3 linked regions of the Bombyx mori genome follow. The protein of the gene in region 3 purifies or fractionates together with the protein of the main gene of each other region. This does not show direct contact. Links are inferred from orthologs where the notes say so. Each region holds a gene or a part of one and is shown on either strand. Other genes may lie near its edges. The genes, in order: intraflagellar transport protein 57 homolog, intraflagellar transport protein 46 homolog and clusterin-associated protein 1.

Region 1 (7,547 bases), on a different chromosome or scaffold from region 3:
AACGATTTAATACAACACGAACTCACCTTCGATGAACGAATTCACATTACACTCGCGCGCATCCGATATTATATTGATATTTCCACTGAGCTGAACATCCACTGGCACAGAACAGTCAAGACACGTGACGCGGCGACAATAAAAGAATAACTATTTTGTGAGTTACGTCGGTTTGTTTAAGGACACACGATCGTCTCTAACGAACGCCGGGCCGCGACTGAACTGAAGTTCTGAAGCAGCACGCGGTGGACGCGAATGTTTCTAATTTTATCGTGCCAGTAATACGAGATAAAGCCGGTCTTTATTGAGGATTTTTTTTATTTTATTTTATAAGGATCAGACGGCTCTCATATGCGCACGGCCTACTAATGAGGCACTCCGTTCCAGTCGGTTGTACTGATGGAATTATTTTGAGGTGCACTGATATAATGTTTAGTAATTTAGCTTGGCTCCGAATAGTTCCGAGTTGCTATCACATTTTGTATTTCTTGAATTACTGTTTTTTGCTACTTCACTAGATTTTTTTATTGCTCAGATAGTTGGACGAGCTCACAGCCCACCAGGTGTCTCAGTATAATTACAACGGCTGCCTCACCCTTCAAACCGAAATGCAGTACTGCTTCACGACAGAAATATGCAGAGTGGTGGTACTATCCCTGTGCGGACTCACAAGAGGTCCTACCACCAGTAAGTCCTATCCTAAGTCTATCTAAGCAAAAAGTTTTATGAAGCATAGATAAATTGGTTCAGTGCTCATTCCAGTATATGCGTAGCATTTTATCCAACGTCAGCGAGGGATGAACTCTCTTGAGATTCGAAGTTTTATGGGGCGTGGAAAGATCATTTTCAAACAACCAAATCATAGTTGTTCCCCTGCTATTGCTGAAGTCCATAAACGACTGTGACCACTTCCCATAAGTTCCTGTATGAGCCTCTGTATAAAAAGATTACCAGATAGGTATGCTCAGAGGATTTTAACGATCAATGTAACTGCTATCAATAATTAGGATGTACGGGTAAACAATTCTGGCTTTCTTGAAGCACTGCTAGAATTTTCCTGCCATCCCTTCACGGTTAAAATACTCTAATTTATTTTCCCACTGCCTAATTCTTAACATTTTTGTTTTTTTCCTACTTATGCTGATAGCCTGGAGAGGCTATTCAGCTTCTCCTTGACGTGTAGGTGAGGTCACGGGGCTCAAACCGGGAGTGCTGCTAACAAGGGCCCTAGCAAGAGTAGTGCTTTGCAGAATCTACTACCGGATCTGAAACGCGACCCACTAAAATGATTCGGCGAGAAACTCAGTGGGCTATGTCTATGGGTTAATTCATTCGTCGAGTCCTTCGTCGTAAGCGACGGGTCCGATGAGGACGGTGACCGGTGCTTGAGGTAGGTACCTAAAAGCACCGTTAATGGATCGGGCGAAACCGTAATTACGTATAACCTTCTAGTTTCTATCTAAAGTATTGGTGGCAGAGCATCTTGCAGTCATTGGAATTGTCGTGGCCTAGATAAGACGCTCTTACTAGTATCGAACGATGCAACCATGCCAGTGTTCCAATACCGCAGGCAGATAAACATTTTTGTAATGAAATACGTACATAACACGTTTTCGTGTATGCCTCCCAAAGTGATGCAATAAAATCGTGTGATAAAAAAAAATATTAATTTGCGAAAACCGCGACGGTGCGTTAATCGGCCAATTGTTGCTCTGTTAATTTTAATATTAGCAGCTTTTTTTTCTTTGTTTTTATTGCCCTTATAGGCAGACGAGCATACGGCCCACCTGTGAGTGGTTGGTTAACGTCGCCCGTGGACTTCAGCAATCCCAGGGGCAGAGCCAAGCCGCTGCTTACCGCTACCACTACAGCTTCCAATCTCATCTTCACTAGTACATTTCGTTTTACATTAAGTTCATTTTCATGTCTCATAGACACAGTTAATTTCTTGTTGAGTACGCACCAGAGAATATGTTCAGCAAATTGATGAACACAACCGTTTCAAAATTATTAATGAATCTTAGTTTAACAATGGTTTAATTAAAATTAATCATACCGATATCCAAACATGGGTGAGAGAATGCGTAGTATTGTTCCCAACGTTTGTAATAATAATACAAGCGTAGAAAATGAGTATCAGAGCTTCTGTATTAATAAACCGACTTGATATAAGGAAACTAACTTGTTTAGAACCAAGAATACAGAAAAGGTTTTTTTTTATTGCTTATATGGATGAACAAGCTCACAGTCCGCCTGGTGTTAAGTGGTTACTGGAGCCCATAGACATCTACAACGTAAATGCGCCACCCACCTCGAGATATAAGTTCTAAGTATAGTTACAACGGCTACCCCCACCCTTCGAACCGAAACGCATTACTGCTTCACGGCGGAAATAGGCGGGGTGGTGGTACCTACCCGTGCGGACTCCCAAGGTCCTACTACCAGTTTAAAATCGTTCAATCGTCTTGACATATGAGCCCGAACCGGCAGCAAGAAGTTGTTATTTCATTTATTTTTCGATGTACCTATCACTTATTTCTGGAATTTGTGTAGTTCCTTGAAATTCAGTGCATTTACAAATCTAATATTAGCGTAATATCTATGTTTACCAACGAACTGTAGACCATAGATAATAAATACACTTCACATTTAAGCGGTGGACTGATCACCATAGCAACCGTAGCGAAGCACTTCAAAACAATCACGCATTACTTTTAGCGTAATTCAAACATTATCAACATGGATTTAAGACTTATGGATAAATTACGTTTATTAAAAATCGACACGGATCTGCGTCCCCAGATAAAAATGAAACCGTTGAGTCGATATTATTTCGTGACGTCCACTAATCCGAACGAACAGTTTTTCGTGTTTGCCTCGACAGCGGCCTGGTTGATAAGGAAGTGTGGCAAGGATTTCGCTCAGCCCAACGAAGAGGACGATCCTAACACAATCATAGCTGCAGTAATTGATGTACTCAAAGAAAACGAAGTTAATGTAGATTTCTCTTCGCATAAACTAAAACAAGGATGGGGCGATCAAGTTTGTAGTATCCTGAATATTCTCGCAGATGAAGCATTGAAAAAAGAAAACTTTGAATGGCAAAAACCAGTTGTTGACATACCAGAATCAGAAGAGTCGGTTGATGACATTGATCAAGTTGAAGACGAAACCGAAATATTACTGGACAAAGTTGAAGATGAAATGCCCATTTATTCTGATGAATCTGAAGGAGATATTAATGCAGACGAAAAAGAACCAAGTAACATAGCCCAAAAGGTTCACGATTGGGAAGCGTGGAAGTTGGAATTGGAAAGGGTCGCTCCGGCTCTAAGATTGAAGATATCCGCCGATGGACGCGACTGGCGAGCGAGACATGCACAGATGAGGAGTTACAAAGAAGAGTTATTCGATAGATTTAAAACAACGGGAACCCAGCTGAATAAATTGCACAGTAGCATTTCATCGGCTATGGATAAGGTAACGGCCAGGGAGAATATATTGAATGAGCAATTCGAGCCTCTTGTCAAAGAATATGGTTCTCTACTCGACGAACTAAACAAAGTGTCAAATGAATATAAAGAGGCCAGTGTAGGTATCACTGAAAGGCAAGACATGTTGAACGAGCTTTCAACAAAGCTAGAGAATATTAAACAAAGAACCGAATCTAAAGGGTCCTCGATGAACGACAATTCTCCTCTAGTTACAGCAAAGAAAGCTGTCGCGACCTTGAAGAAAGATATACAGGAAATGGACTTTCAGATCACGGTGTTGCTGTGGCTTCTGACAACAAAGGAATCGAATGGCAACAGTTTACTTAATAACAAGGAATCTGGGATGATTGCCAACGAAGTGTACTAAATACAATCTATACTAATACATCAATCTAGTGGTTTTTACGGATGTTCCGTTATAACTACTGAACCGTGCATCCGATTGACTTGAAACTTGGTATCCATGTAGATAATACATGTACTTAATGGATAGGCTAACATTGATGTGTTGGACTCCCTACACCAGTTGCGGGGGCGTTAATGATGAGAATTTTTGTGGGGTTGAGAAATAATAATGTTTAAATGCCCAGCGAAGCGGAGGGGTTCAGCTAGTTAATTATTATTTTAGATTGATACAGTATTTGTACGAAGTTTTTGGTGTGTCGCTATTAATGTTGGCAAATCGAATCCAAGGTTTGCCACTAAGCAGTCTCAACAAAATAATTCTGTCAAAACGAAATGGTTTGTTATTTGTTGAATGCAATGTATGGTTTAATACGACTATTTTGCCCGACTTTATTGGACTACCGAACAATGCATTTATAAGACATGAAATGTATTAATGTCTTGTTTCAATAACTGTTTGTAGTTTTTTAAGATTTATTTTGTCTCATGTATGCAAACTCTTCTTTGTACTACTAGGCTACTTTGGTCATATTGTCAGTTAGGAACCTAACAATTGTCACAAACTGGTGGCGTTGTGGCTAAAGTAAATTGCAAAAGGCCTCATAGATGCCCTTGCTTTTACCAAATGAAGACATTCATTGGCCTACCTCACTTCAGCTCTTAGAGTTGCTGAAAATCGACGACCTCAGTTAAAAGAAGAACACGATCAAGAAGGATCAGAAAAAAAATTGTAAATTTTGATGACATTAATTTTTATATTGGTGGGCTATAAATAAATACCTATCAGCGTTTTATACGGTTTTCTCGAGTCGTAGACATAATTAAAATTAATTCTACGATTTAATATAATATGCTTTTCATAGTTTTTTTTTACACGGACGTCGGGCCACGACAACTGTAAAAGTATTCGAAACTCTTTTTCTTTTTCTCTACCTTATCCCACTAGGTGGGGTCGGCACAGCAAATTTTTCTCTTCCATTCTCTTCTATCAGCCGTCATCTCAACACTCACTCCTCTCTCTCTCTCTCTCTCTCTCTCATATCGTCATTCACACACTCCATCCATGACCTCTTCCCCCTCAAAGTATTCGAAGCGTCGGATATAATAATTCTAGGAGTGAGAGGCTATTTGGTTTCAGCGACATATTTGCAACTTTACAGGACTCATATTCAAAGTTTAAAATTTGGAAAAAATATCATACCAAAAAAACTTCTTTAGCTATTTGATTGGGGTAAACTTAATTGAATAAAAACATCGAAGTGTTGATGCTAATACCAAATAAAACGGACCTTTAGTTACATCGATAAATGTCGAGCCAAATAACCTGTCACCCCACGATACAATGAAGAAAAAAAAAACGCGATATTAAACTGTAAAAGATATATTAATTAATATCTGTTAGATTTTTGAATTGCGACTTAAATATTGTATTACAAAAAGTATTGTACAAGTAGTATTGACGTCATTTTATGACCATTCCTTTGCGGTTGAGGCTGTCCGTTTATGGAATGCGTTACCCTTAAGCGTTAAACTATCTTCCTCGCCGGAAATTTTCAAGTCCAGATTGAAATCGCACTACTTTGCTTCTATGATATAACTGTATAAGTTCCTACTTCTTTTGTATTTTATCTTGTATATTTTTAGTATTTATTTGTATTTAATCGTATGTAAGTTTATCTTATATGGTATTTATTTTTCACATGTGTATTTAAGTATATATTTTTATGTAAGTTTATTAAGATATAGCACCGTCCAGTTAACTTATTCCTCTCCCTGCAAGGTTGCCTGGAAGAGATCGCTTTCAGCGATAAGGCCGCCGATTTATATACCGACTTTTGTTTTGTTACTTTACTGTGTACATATTAAGGTGTTATATAAATAAAGAGTTATTATTATTATTATTATTATCAATAAAAATAAAATAATACACTTTTGGTGGTTTATTGAATACATTTATTTTCAGTAGTGACAACATATTAACAATAAAAATGAATTATTCTCAATATAAATCAATCGAAGAATGTTCGATAACTTCTAGAATTTAATAATAGAAACACCACGAAGTTGTCAGAAACGTTTTTAATTTATAAAACCATCATTTTTTTATAGTGTTTCTTTAAAGCTATCATGCTATGATGTATTGCACAAAATAAATAATATATTATGGATTTATTTTAAATACTTACGTTACTGCGGATGTTGCATGCCAAGCTAACATACAGTCATAGCAAAAGACATTTTAAAATACAAACCGAAGAAAAAAAAATACAGTTTTGACAAGATGTAATTATTTTTTTTGGAATTTACGTTTGAACGAAAACAAAAACTGTATTTATTATTATTTTATTTTTATATTAAATTTTTTCGGGTTTTATTTCCAGATGTCTCTGCTTGCGTTAACTTTAGCCAACACACAATATATTTTATAAGCTCTAATATATAACAGAAAAAAATTTTGAATAATAAAAAAATAATAATAATCAAACAACGCATATTATTATAGTATATAACTGTGACTTAGTACACGTGTCCAGTTGCATTACGGCATTTACTTCGTTGATGTCCACGGGCTCCGGTAATCATCGTCGTCTTACCATTGCTCAGGTCCAAGCAAAAGAAATAAATATGATTTGGGGTCTCATTTCGACTTCTCTAAACCTACTGTAGACTGTACTTATGAATTACTCATTTCCTACGCCCGCGTTGGCTGAGTTTTGGCCAACATTTATTGGCTTTAGATTGAATCGCATTATGTGACTACTGTGTACTTACTTTTGTGCATTTGACGTAAATTTAGTCTTTGGTACTTAAGGAACTAAACAGAACATGGTACTTTAATTATTAATAAAACAAAATTGTTAAGGTTTGGTCCATTTTCTTTAAATATATTTAAAATTTTAAATAAATATCGCATTAATTTTTTATTGAATAGGTTAAGTTATTATAACTAACTATTAGACATGATATTCCGCCATGTTTTCCCCTAAACAAAAACAAAAAAGATACCGCAAAATCCAGACTAAAATATATTGGAACTAAAAAAGTATGTATCATTAACTTATAATCGATTATATATTATAAATATTCCGTGTACTTATCTCATACAACTTTCAAATTAAATTGAATATAGACACACGAATAAAGAGATATTTACCAAATTAAATAATAATGTTGTAAACTTAAATAAGCTTAAGTAAAGAAAGTTTAAAGTATCTTATACCTTTAAACGAGCAATTCTTGTATATTCATATCATCATCATCATCATTTCAGCCTATCGCCGTCCACTGCTGAACATAGGCCTCTCCAATAGATTTCCAGTGCGACCGGTCCATTGCCACCTGCATCCAACGAGACCCAGCACTTTTTACTAGGTCGTCGGTCCATCTAGTAGGTGGCCGTCCCACACTGCGCTTGCCAGTACGTGGTCGCCACTCCAGGATCTTTCTGCCCCATCGACCGTCCTCTCTTCGTGCTATGTGGCCGGCCCATTGCCACTTCAGTTCACTAATTCTACGGGCTATGTCAGCAACCTTCGTTCTTCTACGGATCTCCTCATTTCGGATTCGATCACGTAGAGAAATGCCGAGCATAGCCCTCTCCATAGCTCGCTGCGCGACTTTGAGCCTTCTAAAAAGATCCCTAGTGAA
Region 2 (7,447 bases), on a different chromosome or scaffold from region 3:
GCTCCGCTGACGAGTGGTACGATGGGTGTTTAAAAAAAATATGTAAAAGCCCTGATTTCCTTTAGCTGCCTCACCTGGTATAGGAGACCGTGGGCGCTGGCTTCGAGAGGTGCAGCTCAGCCACGTCCTTGATCCAACGGTCGATCGCTTTGGGATTGCTCTCCGGATTGTCAATCTTCTTCGTCAACTGAACAACAATATCGATATAGTACTTCGGTTTCTTCTTTTTTTATATTTATCGATAAGATGGGTGGACGAGCTCACGGCCTACCCTATGTTAATTGGTTACCGGAGCATAGACATCTACAACGTAAATGCCACCACCCACCTTGAGATATGATTTCTAAGGTCTCAGTATAGTTACAACGGCTGCCCCACCCTTTAAACCGAAACGGACTGCTTCACGGCAGAAATAGGCAGGGCGGTGGTACCTACCCGTGCGGACTCACAAGAAGAGGTCCTACCACCAGTAATTACGCAAATTATAATTTTGCGGGTTTGATTTTTATTACACGATGTTATTCCTTCACCGTGGAAGTCAATCGTGAACAATTTTTAAGTACGTATTTCATTAGAAAAATTGGTACCCGCCTGCGGGATTCGAACACCGGCACACTCACGTCGCTCCATACGAATACACCTGCCGCGTTATCCTTTAGGCCGCGATGAGTTCATATATTTAACAACAGTAACAAACGTGCCCCTGAGTTCACTATTTTTTATCAATAAATAACCCTTCTACTCATATCTGTTCATAAAATATTTATAACTACTGATAACATGCACCCCACGCTTTTTTTTACAATAAAATCATTTTTCCGTACACTATTTTTAATTCAAAATTTCATAAAAAAAAAAATTCAATTTTTTAGTTGGAGTTTCTATAAAAGCGTATTTTGTTAGTTTTTTTTAACTATTATTTATTTTTATTTTTTTAGTTGAATTTCAATTTTTTCCTATTTTTTTTAATTGTCATCGGTCCATAATAAGTATACCAAATTTCGAGTTAATCCGACGTTTTGAAGTGTGTCAACAAAATCATGTTCAAAGATTCCGTTACATACTAACATATATACGTCTGAAGCTAATAAAAGCGTATTAATATACTTATAAACACACACCACGGTGGTTTTAGAATGATTCGTCTTCGATATAGCCCTCAGCTGCAAGTGTAAAAGCGCCGAGTCGCTTTGTTCGGCCGACGGCTCGTCCAGTACCGTCAGCCCTGAAATCATCAAAATATTCCATACAATTCCGCCACCTTGGCAACATTGCCCTGTACGTACGAACTATAGAACCTAGAACATAACATTTTTGGCCAGACACCAAGTCATCAACTCCAAAAAAAAACGAACTATGGAAGGTAGAAGTAAGGATAATTGCCTCATATCGAGGACAAGATGAAAAAGAGCTCAGCTGTAGCTGTAGCAGGAAATTACAAAAAATCTACCAAAATGGCGATGGTGCTGAAATTGATATGAATATACAAGTTGTAAACGAAAATGTAATGGAATATCTTTTGACGCTTTCTTTGCAATTACACCACTAGTTACGGTGGCGCCGCCCTAATTTGGTAATTTTTTGAAGAACAATTTTTCACAAACGGAGAATGTTCTCCATACCTCCATCCTCTATAGACCGAATTACACGTCCTTACGGATCCATCAGATCCAATAACCTTTGCATTAGACGCCTTCAGCTCTAATACTAGGAGCAGGCTTAGGGACCCCGGTAACCGTACTCGGCGAACTCGACAAAGAGTTCGACGTGTTCTGGAGGATTTTTAACTGTTATTTAGTGCTGAAAGTGGGACACTTTCAAGCTTCCTCCCATATAAGCCGGTTCTCCTTACCTCTATCCTCCATACTATAAGTCTAAATGCGAAATTGGCAGTACGGTAACACAGAAACCATAGATATTACACTTAATATTTAAGAACAAACGTGCCGATCTGAGCAACTCTCCCATCTATTTTGAATCTCATCAAAAACCTACCCAAGTTGTCGATGTGTTCGAGTACTTGTTCGGCTAGCTGGCCCCCTCGCACGTCGCACGCCGGCGTCGTCACCTTTAGGAAGGCGTCAATGTCACCAACAGCCGGCACATATTCCGGCACAAACGGTTGCAGCTTGAAGTCAATGTCTATCTTCTGCGGTGTGTATCTAGAAGAGATTTTTATCTTGTAAAAGATATTCATCGAAAAGAACCATGAAAACCGTCCATTATAACCGGAGATGACGTGTAGTGGAAATGTAAATCCTATAAACTCAACCAAAACAACCGTATTCTAATAAAGTGTATTCGACTCTACGCAATGTAACACAATTTAAGACCAGCTGCCGCGTGCGGTCAACGAACTCCAGTGTCGAGCTGTCTTCGTTTCTTAGTATGAATTAACGAAAATGAATTAGATTAGCAATTTCTTTTCGTTTGTGCTGCCTTCATTTATTACAAATATATAGCAGGATATTTTGCCGCCGTCGTAAACCGAAACAGAAATAATATACTACCCCTACCTGCCAAAAAGTATTAGTCCCAATCTGAATCTGATATGATGGGGCCCTGCAGTCTATCTCGTAATTTGGGAGTCTTTGAAACACACTCAAAGATCATGACGTTTATTGGTCTACTTTGTGAGAGGGATATCAATCAAGATCAACATGATTTACTTACAAAATTTGCGTTCATTGACCCCGGGTTCGATGACTGCCGAATTTTAGTTCGATATAGCTTGCGGGTCTACGAAACGTGTGAAAGTATTAAACATACTCTTAGAGTTGCGAATATTGTAAAAAAAAAAAGAAACAAAATAATAAAATCCATCAAATTAAAAATCTTTCTACCGGAAATATGCGATTTCAAGTTTTCGTGATACAAGGTATGATCGCGTGCTCACGTACAATAACATATTGTGAATTATACACGCGCTTAAACAATATGACGGGTTTCGCTTTTATAAATTTAGCTCCCAGTAGGGCTATAGCAGCAACAGTTGTATGCTTCACTCAAATGTTTTAACAGATTATCTATGGTACTTAACAGTTGCTAGAGATCTTTTTGTTTGGATTTAGGAAATCTCCGGGCATTCGCCTATGTGCTGTTTGCCTTAAGAGTGGTATGTCGGGGTTGAATCGGCTAAGGCCTCCTGTAGCTCAACAAGGGGTGCTTGAGTCTCGAAAGAAGCAGACCGGGGCCCCCTCTGGACACCGAATCAGATTCTTCAGTACTGGAGCTTATAGACAATACAAACTTGGAGCATATTCATAGACTGTCGAAATGTCAGCTAACTACAAACCCGACTCAGACAACGGGACAACGAAGAGTCGACTTCGCCCAAGGTGTCCTTTCAGATTCTCTCCCGGTCATTTTTCTCGTGAGTTCGACGTGCATCCTAATCCATAGACACAACCCATAGAATTCCTCGCCTGACCTTCTCAGTGGGTTGCGATTTCGATCCGATGTTAGATGCAGTGAAGCACTGCTCTTTCTAGGACAGATATTCCGAAACTCTTTCAGGCTGAGCCTCGTGAGCTCATCCATGAGCCAGGATGAAGCCAAAATGGCCCTTCGAGACCACCGGTAGATATACAAAAAACAAAGTCGAAACGTATTGTTACATTGAAATATCGGGTTCCCTAAATTCCTTACCTGAAGAGTAAAATCCATTTAATTCAACATTGAGGCAGTGGAACCTATTTTTACAACATTAAAAGGTAAAGCTAGACTGATCAGGTGAAAGACCTTACTAAAACCCCACTTAACGAGTGCGTGCGCCAAGCCTCAATTTGCAAACTATGGAAATATATCTATAAACTATGGGAATATCTGTCAAGGCTTTGATAGACAAGAATTCCACATGACCACGACTGCTCTGCCAAGAACAACCGACTATGATGATAAAAAGGTAAACTTAGTTTTTACAAATACAGACACAATCGAATATTGGTTTTGAAAGAGTAAATAAACCTTCCTCGGACCACTGCAAACCCTAACCTGGTTGACGCTAATAATCTTATTAGATTTCAATTGCCAGCTCGAATTCGACCTAATGTCTATTACTAAAGAGTTGTTAACCGTTAATTTTAGTTTAACTCTAGATCTAGCAAGGTTAAACTGTAGGCGTTTCGCCCACATGTCTGTAAATTTGATATATCGCATTAAAGGACGATATGTAGAGCGCACTAACTATTCCGTTAATAATTTATAATTGATGTTCTGGGATATCTTGATAACTATGAAAATTTAGGAATGCGTTCGTCTTTGTTTTTCTTTATGTTTTTACCGTGATACATGTCAAACAATGTTTGAGCTTTTTTCCCTACCTACCGATTTGCTGACATCCTAAGGGGATATCCCAGCTTCTCGCGGACGAATAGGTGAGGATCAACCTAAGAGAAATTGCTAACACTAGCCCTAGCAAGAGCGGTGTTTCGGAGAATCTACCACAGAATCGGAATCGCGACCCACTAAGAAGATCCGGCGAGAAACTCAGTGGGCTGTGTTTTTGGGACAATATTTGAGCGGGAAAATAGACAATTTCAGATACACAATGTTCAGATTATTCTATAAACCAGAACCCGTGGTTCTTTGGCGGCAGAAATAAGCGGAGCAGTGGTATCTACCCGTACGGGTTCACAATAATTACTATCGTAACTCCCACTGTCCTAGAATCAACAGTCATTTTGCTAATTTTATTTTGATGACCTAAAATCGCTCGTTAACCGGAGAAAATATCTCGTGGCACATATTAAGTTCCAACGCGGGTGCAGTGGAGTATAAATAATTGGCTTTTAAAAATTCAATCTCGAAAAGAGCACGAAGGAAATATTGAAACCCGACTACCAACAAAAGAGGGAGAGGGTGATGGGAGAGATGTGCTCCGCACTAAACGCTTTGCTTTCTCCCCTTTGCTTTTTCATTAGTTATGTCTCATGCGAGATTTGGATGCTGGTTGTTGAGCGACAGGAGGCTTTAGTCGGTTCGACTCCGACATGCCCCGCCCTCCATCCCCAGTGGAGGGCGGAAGTCCGGTGATTTCCTCCTGACAAAAAAAAGCGTTTTCGTAACATGGATCAGTTACATATACGTCATCAATGCCCGAGGATTCGCATATTAGCGCGCCGGCCGCTGGTACATAAATATAAAAACTACTATAAAATTTACAGTAGCATAGTGTTGCACCGGGTCGAATTTAAAATTCCTGTTTAACAAAGTCGAAGTCAATATTTCGTATTTAACTGTTTTCTTACTCTAAAACTTGACCGGCTGGACTAATATAACGACTTTTTCACAATAAGAAAATGAGAATTATTTCATTGAGCTTATTTACTTTGCGGTATCGGCGAGACGTAATCGGATTTAAAACTATTTTTACGGTTTAATCTCGCGTTTCTTACTGTCGATTTTACTTTACAAATTTGTTGTAAAAGTAGATTCTCCTAATTTTCAAAGGTACTTCATTCTTCTGTGCAATAATTATTTTAAGAATATGTATACATATATGGAACGGGACAGCAGTGGGTACAGGTCGTATATAATGTATGTAAAGTTTGTGCATACACATAAGGCAAAACGCCTATTGAGTCCACAATCACTTGCCATCAGAAAATGCTTATCATCGTAGTCAAAGAAACTCGTGTGCAGCAAACGAAAACTGTAAAGACATAGGTTCTCACTTCATAATATACTGAAAGATGTTTTCCATTTCAGGCGGAACCTTCAGATCCTGATACAGCTTGGGATCGTACGCGCCTTCAGCTGGTATCACGACGCCGCCTCGCTTGCGACCGCTGCCTATCAGGGGGTCGGGTCGCTCGCGTTCCATTTCTCCGCTATCTGTTTCTGAATTATAAGATGATTAAAGCTGATTTCAGACTACGCTATACTATAGTGCCATATATGAGGCCGTCAGCACAAAAGTGGCCTATCCTACATTATTTGATATTCGTAGTTTTTTTGTTCTTCCTACCTATGCTAATAGCCTTGAGAGGCTATTTCAGCTTCACCCTAACGTGTAGGTGAGCTCACGATGCTCAAACCGGACTGTTGCTAACACCGGGCCTAGCAAGAGCACTACTTCGCAGAATTTACCATCGGATCAGAAACGCGACCCACTCAGAAGATTCGGCGAGAAACTCAGTGGGCTGTGTCTATGGGTTAATTCGCTCGTCGAGCCCTTCGTCGTAAGCGACGGGTTCGACGAGGACGGTAACCGGTGCTTGTAGTACCTAAAAGCACCGTTAATGGATCGGGAGGATCCGTAATGACGTGTTTTGGACAACGTCGACTGTATACCATTCGGTCTACAGGTTCGGTCGGCAGTCAGTACAGGTCAGCAAATTCAGACCTCATTGTCTCCATACTTATTATAGTAAGCTCAGGTAAGCTTAGACCACTTTTGCGCTGAAGGCCTTATATAGTAGCCTATACTTTTTTTTATTGCTTGGATGAGTGGACGAGCTCACAGCCTACACAGTATAGTTACAGTTTTAGTGATAAGACAGTCTATTGTACGGTAGAGTTGGACTTTTTGAATAGTTTGGGTTATTTCGGTGTACTATTAAACATCACTTAGAGGTTTTATTTTTCAAGACCATTTGTTCGTAGGACTTATGGGCTCCGGTGACCATTTAGCACCAGGTGGGACGTGAGTACCTCTATCGGTTTAGAGGTATAAAGACTGTTATCTGCGGTCTGTAGCAGTATTTGATTTTTTTAACTCACCAGAATTAGAAGAATCATTACGTTTGGAGGACGCTTTGGGTCTCTCGCTGCCTGCCTTGGTAACCTTCGTAACGTTTTTCTGGACATCATTCGCTTTCTCGGGCACAAGCGGCTTCTTGTCTGGTACCTAAAACATAATGCTTGTATCTTCAGAGATCCTCGTAAGCCAGCCTTACTGGGGGTAACACGTCTTGTGAGTCCGTATGGTTAGGTACCACTACAATACCTATTTCTGTCGTGAAGTAGTAATGTATTTCGGTTTGAAGGGCGGGACAGCCGTTGTACTGTTAAAAGTGAAACCTTACAACTCATGTTCTAAGGTTCTAAGTTCTAAAGTCTCACTACAGTTACAACGGGCAGTGAGCTAAATAAACAATAAATATAAATCATTGAATCTCAAAATATTTCTCGGTACAAACGTTAATGATGTTATAAACTAAACAATATTATTTGCTGAAGCTAACCGCTTACAGCTGCAACAACGTACAACGTCTGGACGCGGCCACCATAAAACACTTTGATATGAGATCTCAAGGAAACGCGTTAAACGCGGATGAGAATAGAAAATTCCTGGTGCATTTTTTCAAACAGATCATTGCACTACGATGTCCGTGCGGTATAAATTCGTTAACCCGATCGCAGCCATTGTTTTTTTAACTTAGCATTATAATTTTTTTTTTATTGCTGAGATAGGTGGACGAGCTCACAGCCCGCCTGGTGTTAA
Region 3 (7,547 bases):
TTTTTCAATGAAATAATTAAGCGCCTGACAGCAATAACTTAGCAAATGACCACCAAAATGATTAATCATTACAATATTGCAGGAGTTTGTAAATTTAAACTGATCTCAATAAGAATGGAGTGAAAAATGATAATCTTTGTATATTTTTATTATTCAGAGAAGATCAAATAATAGCTTTGCAGTATACACATTGCATTAATTAAGTCGTTGGATGCGGAAGGCGGAGGACCGCATTATGTGGAAGGCATTGGGGAAGGCCTATGTCCAGCAGTGGGCAGATAAAGGCTGATGATGATGATGATGATGATGATTAATTATGCACAATAATTAATATTAATTATGCATTTAAGGGGCGTCTGAATAAGAGCTTTTATTATTAGTTGAGTGAGTGTTAGCATTGTTGTATTCTTATGAAAGCTACATTTTCCTCTAGTCGAGGGAGCACACGAGCTAATAGTGAGCTACAGCTCTTTTAACTATATGTGTAACTTGTATATCTTTTGTAGGAAAACTAAAGAAATAAAATTATTAAATTAGTAGTTCTCATAAGACAACACTATTTGTATGCCCAATTAGTATAAAACTGAGATAAATAATTCATGTTTTGTAGCGATTTATATAGGTACTATAAAAATAAAAATTGTTCGAAAATTTTTATGTTTATTTTTCACAAGTTTTATTTTGTGTGTACTTAGTGCGAGTTTTTTAACGTTCTCTATAGCGAAAGTTACTCAAACAGCGCCCCTAGCGGCAAACGTACGCAAACGTTCCAACTGCATACAAATTTGAGTTAACTTTTACGCTATCGAGAAAGTTAAAATAACCGCACTAAGCACACAGACGTCATTCGGCGACTTTAAATCCAAATTAATTAAATAATCGATTATGATTCTTCAACATGTGAATAATTACTTAATAGATTTATGGTTAGTATTCATAAAATTAGGGTTACCACCAGCATTGATTCCTAAAAAAATGTATGTGCCTAAATTTTTTTGTGTTCCTTTTTTTGCGATATTATTATTATTAGCTAGCTGGCTAATATGATTATGAAACTAATCTGCACTACTAAAAAAAGAGAATATTTTTCAAGGTAAGAACCACTGAAGTATAAAGGTCTATGGTAAGAACAGGTAATGTAACAGGTTATGTTATCAATGAGAAAGACGTTGTCATAGTAACGGCTTTTCACAACAAGTCTATCCTTAAGTGTTAGAACAGTGCTATTTTGTAAACACGGTAAAAACTGTTATTCCAGTGAGAACGACATGTCTTACCGTGATCTTAGAAGTGAGTTTTACAATTAGAAGAAAGTTTTTTGATTCTAATAAGATTAGGCTTGTTTGTACATCCTTTTATCCATTAAAAGTAGAAGAAATTTTATCGTGAAAATGAATGTAGAATTGGGATCGTGGCACATAAAATAAACTATCCACTGTTGCACTAATCATAGATTAGGTATACACTTAATATATTGCACTAATAATGAAAAATCAACTGACACCTTAGGCCTTGCTCATTCAATTGTCTTCGTCATCTTACTTTTCGCTGTCATTCTGTCTCTCATTCTCTTTCCCTTCCTTACCGTTTCCCTTCTCTCACATCTTAACGCTCCGTTCCATACTCTTCACTTCTTAACAATCCTTCATAAATGTAACATTAAAGATTTCAGCGAAGCCATGCGCGTGTTAGGCTTCCCGAAGCCAATATCCTTGGAGAGCTTCAGGATCCCGAACTGGGAACTGGTGGAGGAGTGTCTCCGCTGGCAGGCGGCGAGGGTCGACCCCGACGCCGTCCTGGCCGGCGGCCGGGGCAGCGTGGAGCAGCGCGTGTCCATAGTGACGCACGCGGTGTCTCTGTTTGTAAGTTTAGTGTGCCTCATTATTTTGCATTGGAATGCTTATACATTGCATAGACCGCCCCCGATGCGTCAAGTGTTTAGGCGATCACGCCACGGCCCTATGCACTCGCGATAAAAAAACCGCTACGGAACCGCCTAGCTGCGTCCTGTGTCAAACACAGGGTCACCCCGCAAATTACCGCGGATGCCCCCGAGCCCCGAAAATAAATCGCCGCGTCACCCGCCAAAACCGCCTCCGAGCTTTCGGCCCAGACATCAAAGCCTCGGCACCCTCTGCGTCGCAGGCTAAGCCAGCGTTCGTTCCGGCGGCGGTGCCCAGTGTCTCGGCCTGGGCGAAACCGCTGCCGTACACGAACACGGCTACAACTCCCTCCTCCGCGATTCGTCCCGCCCTCGCGACTCGTCCCTCTCCCGCGACTTGCCCTCCGACCGCGTCCGAAAATCTCGCTTTAGCGATCGACTTCTTTCAGTTGATCAACTTTGAGCGCGTTAACGCTTTGGGCGACGCCATTCGCGCTGCCTCCACTGCACAACACTTTATCGCCGTTGTGCAAGAATACGCCGACGTATACGCGTCATTAAATACGTACGTCCTCCCCTCACTCCGCCGGTAATCAATGGCGTATATAAGTAGATTAAAGCCCCTATCCGTAACGATAGGATTTTTTAACGCTTACGGTCTCGCAAATCAACGTGATCAGGTTTCTGACTTTTTGCGTGACCATCAAATTGATATATTTTTAGTGCAGGAGACCCTACTTAAGCCCGCGCGCCGTGACCCTAAAATCGCGAACTATAACATGGTCAGGAACGACAGGCTCTCTGCCCGTGGTGGTGGTACCGTCATTTACTATAGAAGAGCCCTGCATTGCGTCCCGCTCGATCGTCCCGCGCTCGCTAATATCGAAGCATCAGTGTGCCGAATCTCACTGACGGGACACGCGCCAATCGTTATCGCGTCCGTTTATCTTCCACCGGATAAGATCGTTCTAAGCAGTGATATCGAGGCGCTGCTCGGCATGGGAAGCTCTGTCATTCTGGCGGGCGACTTAAATTGTAAACACATCAGGTGGAACTCACACACCACAACCCCGAATGGCAGGCGGCTTGACGCGTTAGTTGATGATCTCGCCTTCGATATCGTCGCTCCGCTAACCCCGACTCACTACCCGCTAAATATCGCGCATCGCCCGGATATACTCGACATAGCGTTATTAAAAAACGTAACTCTGCGCTTACACTCGATCGAAGTAGTTTCAGAGTTAGATTCAGACCACCGTCCTGTCGTTATGAAGCTCGGTCGCGCTCCCGATTCCGTTCCCGTCACGAGGACTGTGGTGGATTGGCACACGTTGGGCATCAGCCTGGCTGAATCTGATCCACCATCGCACCCGTTTAGCCCGGACTCTACCCCGTCTCCTCAGGATACCGCTGAAGCCATAAACATCTTAACGTCACACATCACCTCGACATTAGATAGGTCATCGAAACAAGTTGTAGCGGAGGACTTCCTTCACCGCTTCAAATTGTCCGACGATATTAGGGAGCTCCTAAGAGCTAAGAACGCCTCAATACGCGCCTACGACAGGTATCCTACCGCGGAAAATCGTATTCGAATGCGTGCCCTACAACGCGACGTAAAGTCTCGCATCGCCGAAGTCCGAGATGCCAGATGGTCTGATTTCTTAGAAGGACTCGCGCCCTCCCAAAGGTCTTACTACCGCTTAGCTCGTACTCTCAAATCGGATACGGTAGTAGCTATGCCCCCCCTCGTAGGCCCCTCAGGCCGACTCGCGGCGTTCGATGATGACGAAAAAGCAGAGCTGCTGGCCGATACATTGCAAACCCAGTGCACGCCCAGCACTCAATCCGTGGACCCTGTTCATGTAGAATTAGTAGACAGTGAGGTAGAACGCAGAGCCTCCTTGCCACCCTCGGATGCGTTACCACCCGTCACCCCGATGGAAGTTAAAGACTTGATCGAAGACCTACGTCCTTGCAAGGCTCCCGGTTCCGACGGTATATCCAACCGCGTTGTTAAACTTCTACCCGTCCAACTCATCGTGATGTTGGCATCTATATTCAATGCCGCTATGGCGAACTGTATCTTTCCCGCGGTGTGGAAAGAAGCGGACGTTATCGGCATACATAAACCCGGTAAACCAAAAAATCATCCGACGAGCTACCGCCCGATTAGCCTCCTCATGTCTCTAGGCAAACTGTATGAGCGTCTGCTCTACAAACGCCTCAGAGACTTCGTCTCATCCAAGGGCATTCTCATCGATGAACAATTCGGATTCCGTACAAACCACTCATGCGTTCAACAGGTGCACCGCCTCACGGAGCACATTCTTGTGGGGCTTAATCGACCAAAACCGTTATACACGGGAGCTCTCTTCTTCGACGTCGCAAAAGCGTTCGACAAAGTCTGGCACAACGGTTTGATTTTCAAACTATTCAACATGGGTGTGCCGGATAGTCTCATGCTCATCATACGGGACTTCTTGTCGAACCGCTCTTTTCGATATCGAGTCGAGGGAACCCGCTCCTCCCCACGACCTCTCACAGCTGGAGTCCCGCAAGGCTCTGTCCTCTCACCCCTCCTATTTAGCTTATTCGTTAACGATATTCCCCGGTCGCCGCCAACCCATTTAGCTTTATTCGCCGACGACACGACTGTTTACTATTCCAGTAGAAACAAGTCCCTAATCGCGAAGAAGCTTCAGAGCGCAGCCCTAGCCCTAGGACAGTGGTTCCGAAAATGGCGCATAGACATCAACCCAGCGAAAAGTACTGCGGTGCTATTTCAGAGGGGAAGCTCCACACGGATTTCCTCCCGTATTAGGAGGAGGAATCTTACACCCCCGATTACTCTCTTTAGTCAATCCATACCCTGGGCCAGGAAGGTCAAGTACCTGGGCGTTACCCTGGATGCATCGATGACATTCCGCCCGCATATAAAATCAGTCCGTGACCGTGCCGCGTTTATTCTCGGTAGACTCTACCCCATGATCTGTAAGCGGAGTAAAATGTCCCTTCGGAACAAGGTGACACTTTACAAAACTTGCATAAGGCCCGTCATGACTTACGCGAGTGTGGTGTTCGCTCACGCGGCCCGCACACACATAGACACCCTTCAATCTCTACAATCCCGCCTTTGCAGGTTAGCCGTCGGAGCTCCGTGGTTCGTGAGGAACGTTGACCTACACGACGACCTGGGCCTCGAATCTATACAGAAATACATGAAGTCAGCGTCGGAACGGTACTTCGATAAGGCTATGCGTCATGATAATCGCCTTATCGTAGCCGCCGCTGACTACTCCCCGAATCCTGATCATGCAGGAGCCAGTCACCGTCGACGCCCTAGACACGTCCTTACGGATCCATCAGATCCAATAACCTTTGCACTAGACGCCTTCAGCTCTAGGAGCAGGCTTAGGGACCTCGGTAACCGTACTCATCGAACTCGACAAAGAGTTCGCCGTGCAACCTAACCCATGAATCAGCTCGCTGAGTTTCTCGCCGGATCTTCTCAGCGGGTCGCGATTCCGATCCGGTAGTAGATTCATTCGCGAAGCAGCTACTCTTGAGTTGTTAGGTCTCCTTCGGAGGCGCTCGGGTAGCTGTTAGCAAATCCCACCCCTCCTGGCTGAGCCTTTGCTCGCCCACCTGTCCTGGTGAAACTGGAAAGGCCTCCGGGCCACCAGTAATCCTTCAATCATAAAAAAAAAAAAACATTGCATAGACAGGAGAACGAATATAACCGATCAGTTATACCTAGGTACATCAGTACGTGAATGCCGTCACCTACCTTGAGACATGATGTTCAAGCTACAATTGTATAATATAACAGCTGTCCCACCTTTTTATTTTCCTTTACTTATTCGCTGGTAGCTTAAGAGACTATTCGAGCTACGCCCGGACGGGTAGGAGAGCTCACAAGAGCAGCGCTTCGCAGAATCTACCACTGGATCGGACCCTTCGAACCGGATGGCATCACTGCTTTTCGGCAGAAATAGACAAGTTAGGCTTACAAGAGGCACCGCCATCAGTGTAACTACGCAAAAAAAGAAAAAAACGTTATTATTCTTGTTATGACCTTCATTGTGCAAGTTATTCACGAACATGACTAAAGTACTCATTTCATTAATGTCTACAAGTGTTACTGTGAATATTCTTAATTTGCGTCTGGCCCACATCATGGAAAAAGTTCAGTCGTTCGTAGCTACGGATAATAATATTGCCAGGGGCAACTAGACACTCGCCTGCCTACCATGATGTGGAGTTTCTTAGCGTTTACCTACATTAAATATTTAATTATCTTATGACAAGACGAACAACAATATTCACCTAATAATAATATTAAACAAGATGCCATTTGCTTCTCTAAGTTTAAAAAATATAGTTGAAAACTTATGCAATTGACAGCACTCCCGAGCGAATCTTAAACTAAACGGCAAGAAGTTGTACGGTGCTGATGGCTGGGCCGTGCGTGAGTTGCTGAAGGTGGCGACCTTGTTGAGAGCAGCCTTGGAGTCACCGGGCTCTGAAGACCAGTCCGATTCAACTCCGCTGTCTTATGACATCAGTAATAGGGTCAGTAGTAAGATCCCGCGTGTTACGAGAATTCTGTAGACTTTTTTACTTTTTGTCTTTTTGTACATTTTTTTATTAGTTGTACGTAAGATTTTGAGAACCGGCTCGTTTTAAAATCGCCATCCCTAATGCTACCAAATAGTTCTTTTACAAAGAACACGGGAACGGTTAGCGATTCAGAGACGGTACTAAAATTTTTATCATCAATAAAAAAATTATATTTACATGTACCTTTTTATTTATTTATTTTTTATTGCTTATATGGGTGGACGAGCTCACAGCCCACCTGGTGTTAAGTGGTTACTAGTGCCCATGGACATCTACAACGTAAATGCGCCACCCACCTTGAGTTATAAGTTCTTAGGTCTCAAGTATAGTTACAACGGCTGCCCCACCCTTCAAACCGAAACGCATTACTGCTTCACGGCGGAAATAGACAGGGTGGTGGTACCTACCCGTGCGGACTCCCAAGAGGTCCTACCACCAGTAAACCTATCTACCTATCGTTATCGTCAACGTTTATCTTAAAATGTGAAGTCTTCGTCTATTTGCACTAAGCACTTGGTCGACTGGATGCTGTGCGTCTTCCGAGGTTCGATGAAAGCAAAGCAACGTGAGAGATACAACCAATCAAATATAAAAACAGATTATTTTATTGTCGGGATCGAAAAAAATCTCATTCTTCATTCCAGTTGGGGGAAATAAAACAAGCTCGTGCTTTAGCTACGGAAATTACCGCTCAAGGCGCTTTCCTATACGACTTACTGACTAAGGAACCTGAGAATAAGGTACATTTTTCATTCTGCTTATGGAAATTAAGTGACTCCAATTTAGACTCCTTGACTCTAATCAAAAGCAAATCGTGACCTACTTCAGCAAATTCAGCACCATAGCTCAGATTAGTCTTTGCAAAGATTTTGATGCACGAATATAAGCTTCATTCCGTTTTCGTGTACACATTCTAAGGCACTAATGTATTGTTCCAATTCTTCGGATACAAATTTTTAGCCTAAATGGACAGACGAACTCCGGGCCTTAAGTTAAGCGGCGTCTCAGTTTTAGTTTCTTTTTTTTTTGTTGCCCTTGTAGG

What was found.
Region 1: the proteins of clusterin-associated protein 1 (region 3) and intraflagellar transport protein 57 homolog purify together in Homo sapiens (affinity purification with mass spectrometry; 4 studies listed by BioGRID and IntAct, counting the BioPlex papers as one, with this or other methods). This does not show direct contact. The link is inferred for Bombyx mori from reciprocal best matches to the Homo sapiens genes CLUAP1 and IFT57.
Region 2: the proteins of clusterin-associated protein 1 (region 3) and intraflagellar transport protein 46 homolog purify together in Homo sapiens (affinity purification with mass spectrometry; 3 studies listed by BioGRID and IntAct, with this or other methods). This does not show direct contact. The link is inferred for Bombyx mori from reciprocal best matches to the Homo sapiens genes CLUAP1 and IFT46.

What each region holds. Positions count from the first base shown.
Region 1 is NC_085120.1:9,284,358-9,291,904, forward strand, and holds intraflagellar transport protein 57 homolog, read left to right. Parts: upstream 1-2,667; 5' UTR 2,668-2,739; coding exon 2,740-3,861; 3' UTR 3,862-5,830; downstream 5,831-7,547. UniProt on the Homo sapiens protein: Required for the formation of cilia. Plays an indirect role in sonic hedgehog signaling, cilia being required for all activity of the hedgehog pathway.
Region 2 is NC_085131.1:2,011,091-2,018,537, reverse strand, and holds part of intraflagellar transport protein 46 homolog, read right to left. Parts: intron 6,851-7,447; coding exon 6,724-6,850; intron 5,842-6,723; coding exon 5,676-5,841; intron 2,163-5,675; coding exon 1,996-2,162; intron 1,226-1,995; coding exon 1,122-1,225; intron 188-1,121; coding exon 75-187; intron 1-74. UniProt on the Homo sapiens protein: Forms part of a complex involved in intraflagellar transport (IFT), the bi-directional movement of particles required for the assembly, maintenance and functioning of primary cilia. May play a role in chondrocyte maturation and skeletogenesis.
Region 3 is NC_085123.1:633,571-641,117, forward strand, and holds the start of clusterin-associated protein 1, read left to right. Parts: upstream 1-1,268; coding exon 1,269-1,290; intron 1,291-1,665; coding exon 1,666-1,862; intron 1,863-6,289; coding exon 6,290-6,457; intron 6,458-7,149; coding exon 7,150-7,245; intron 7,246-7,547. UniProt on the Homo sapiens protein: Required for cilia biogenesis. Appears to function within the multiple intraflagellar transport complex B (IFT-B). Key regulator of hedgehog signaling.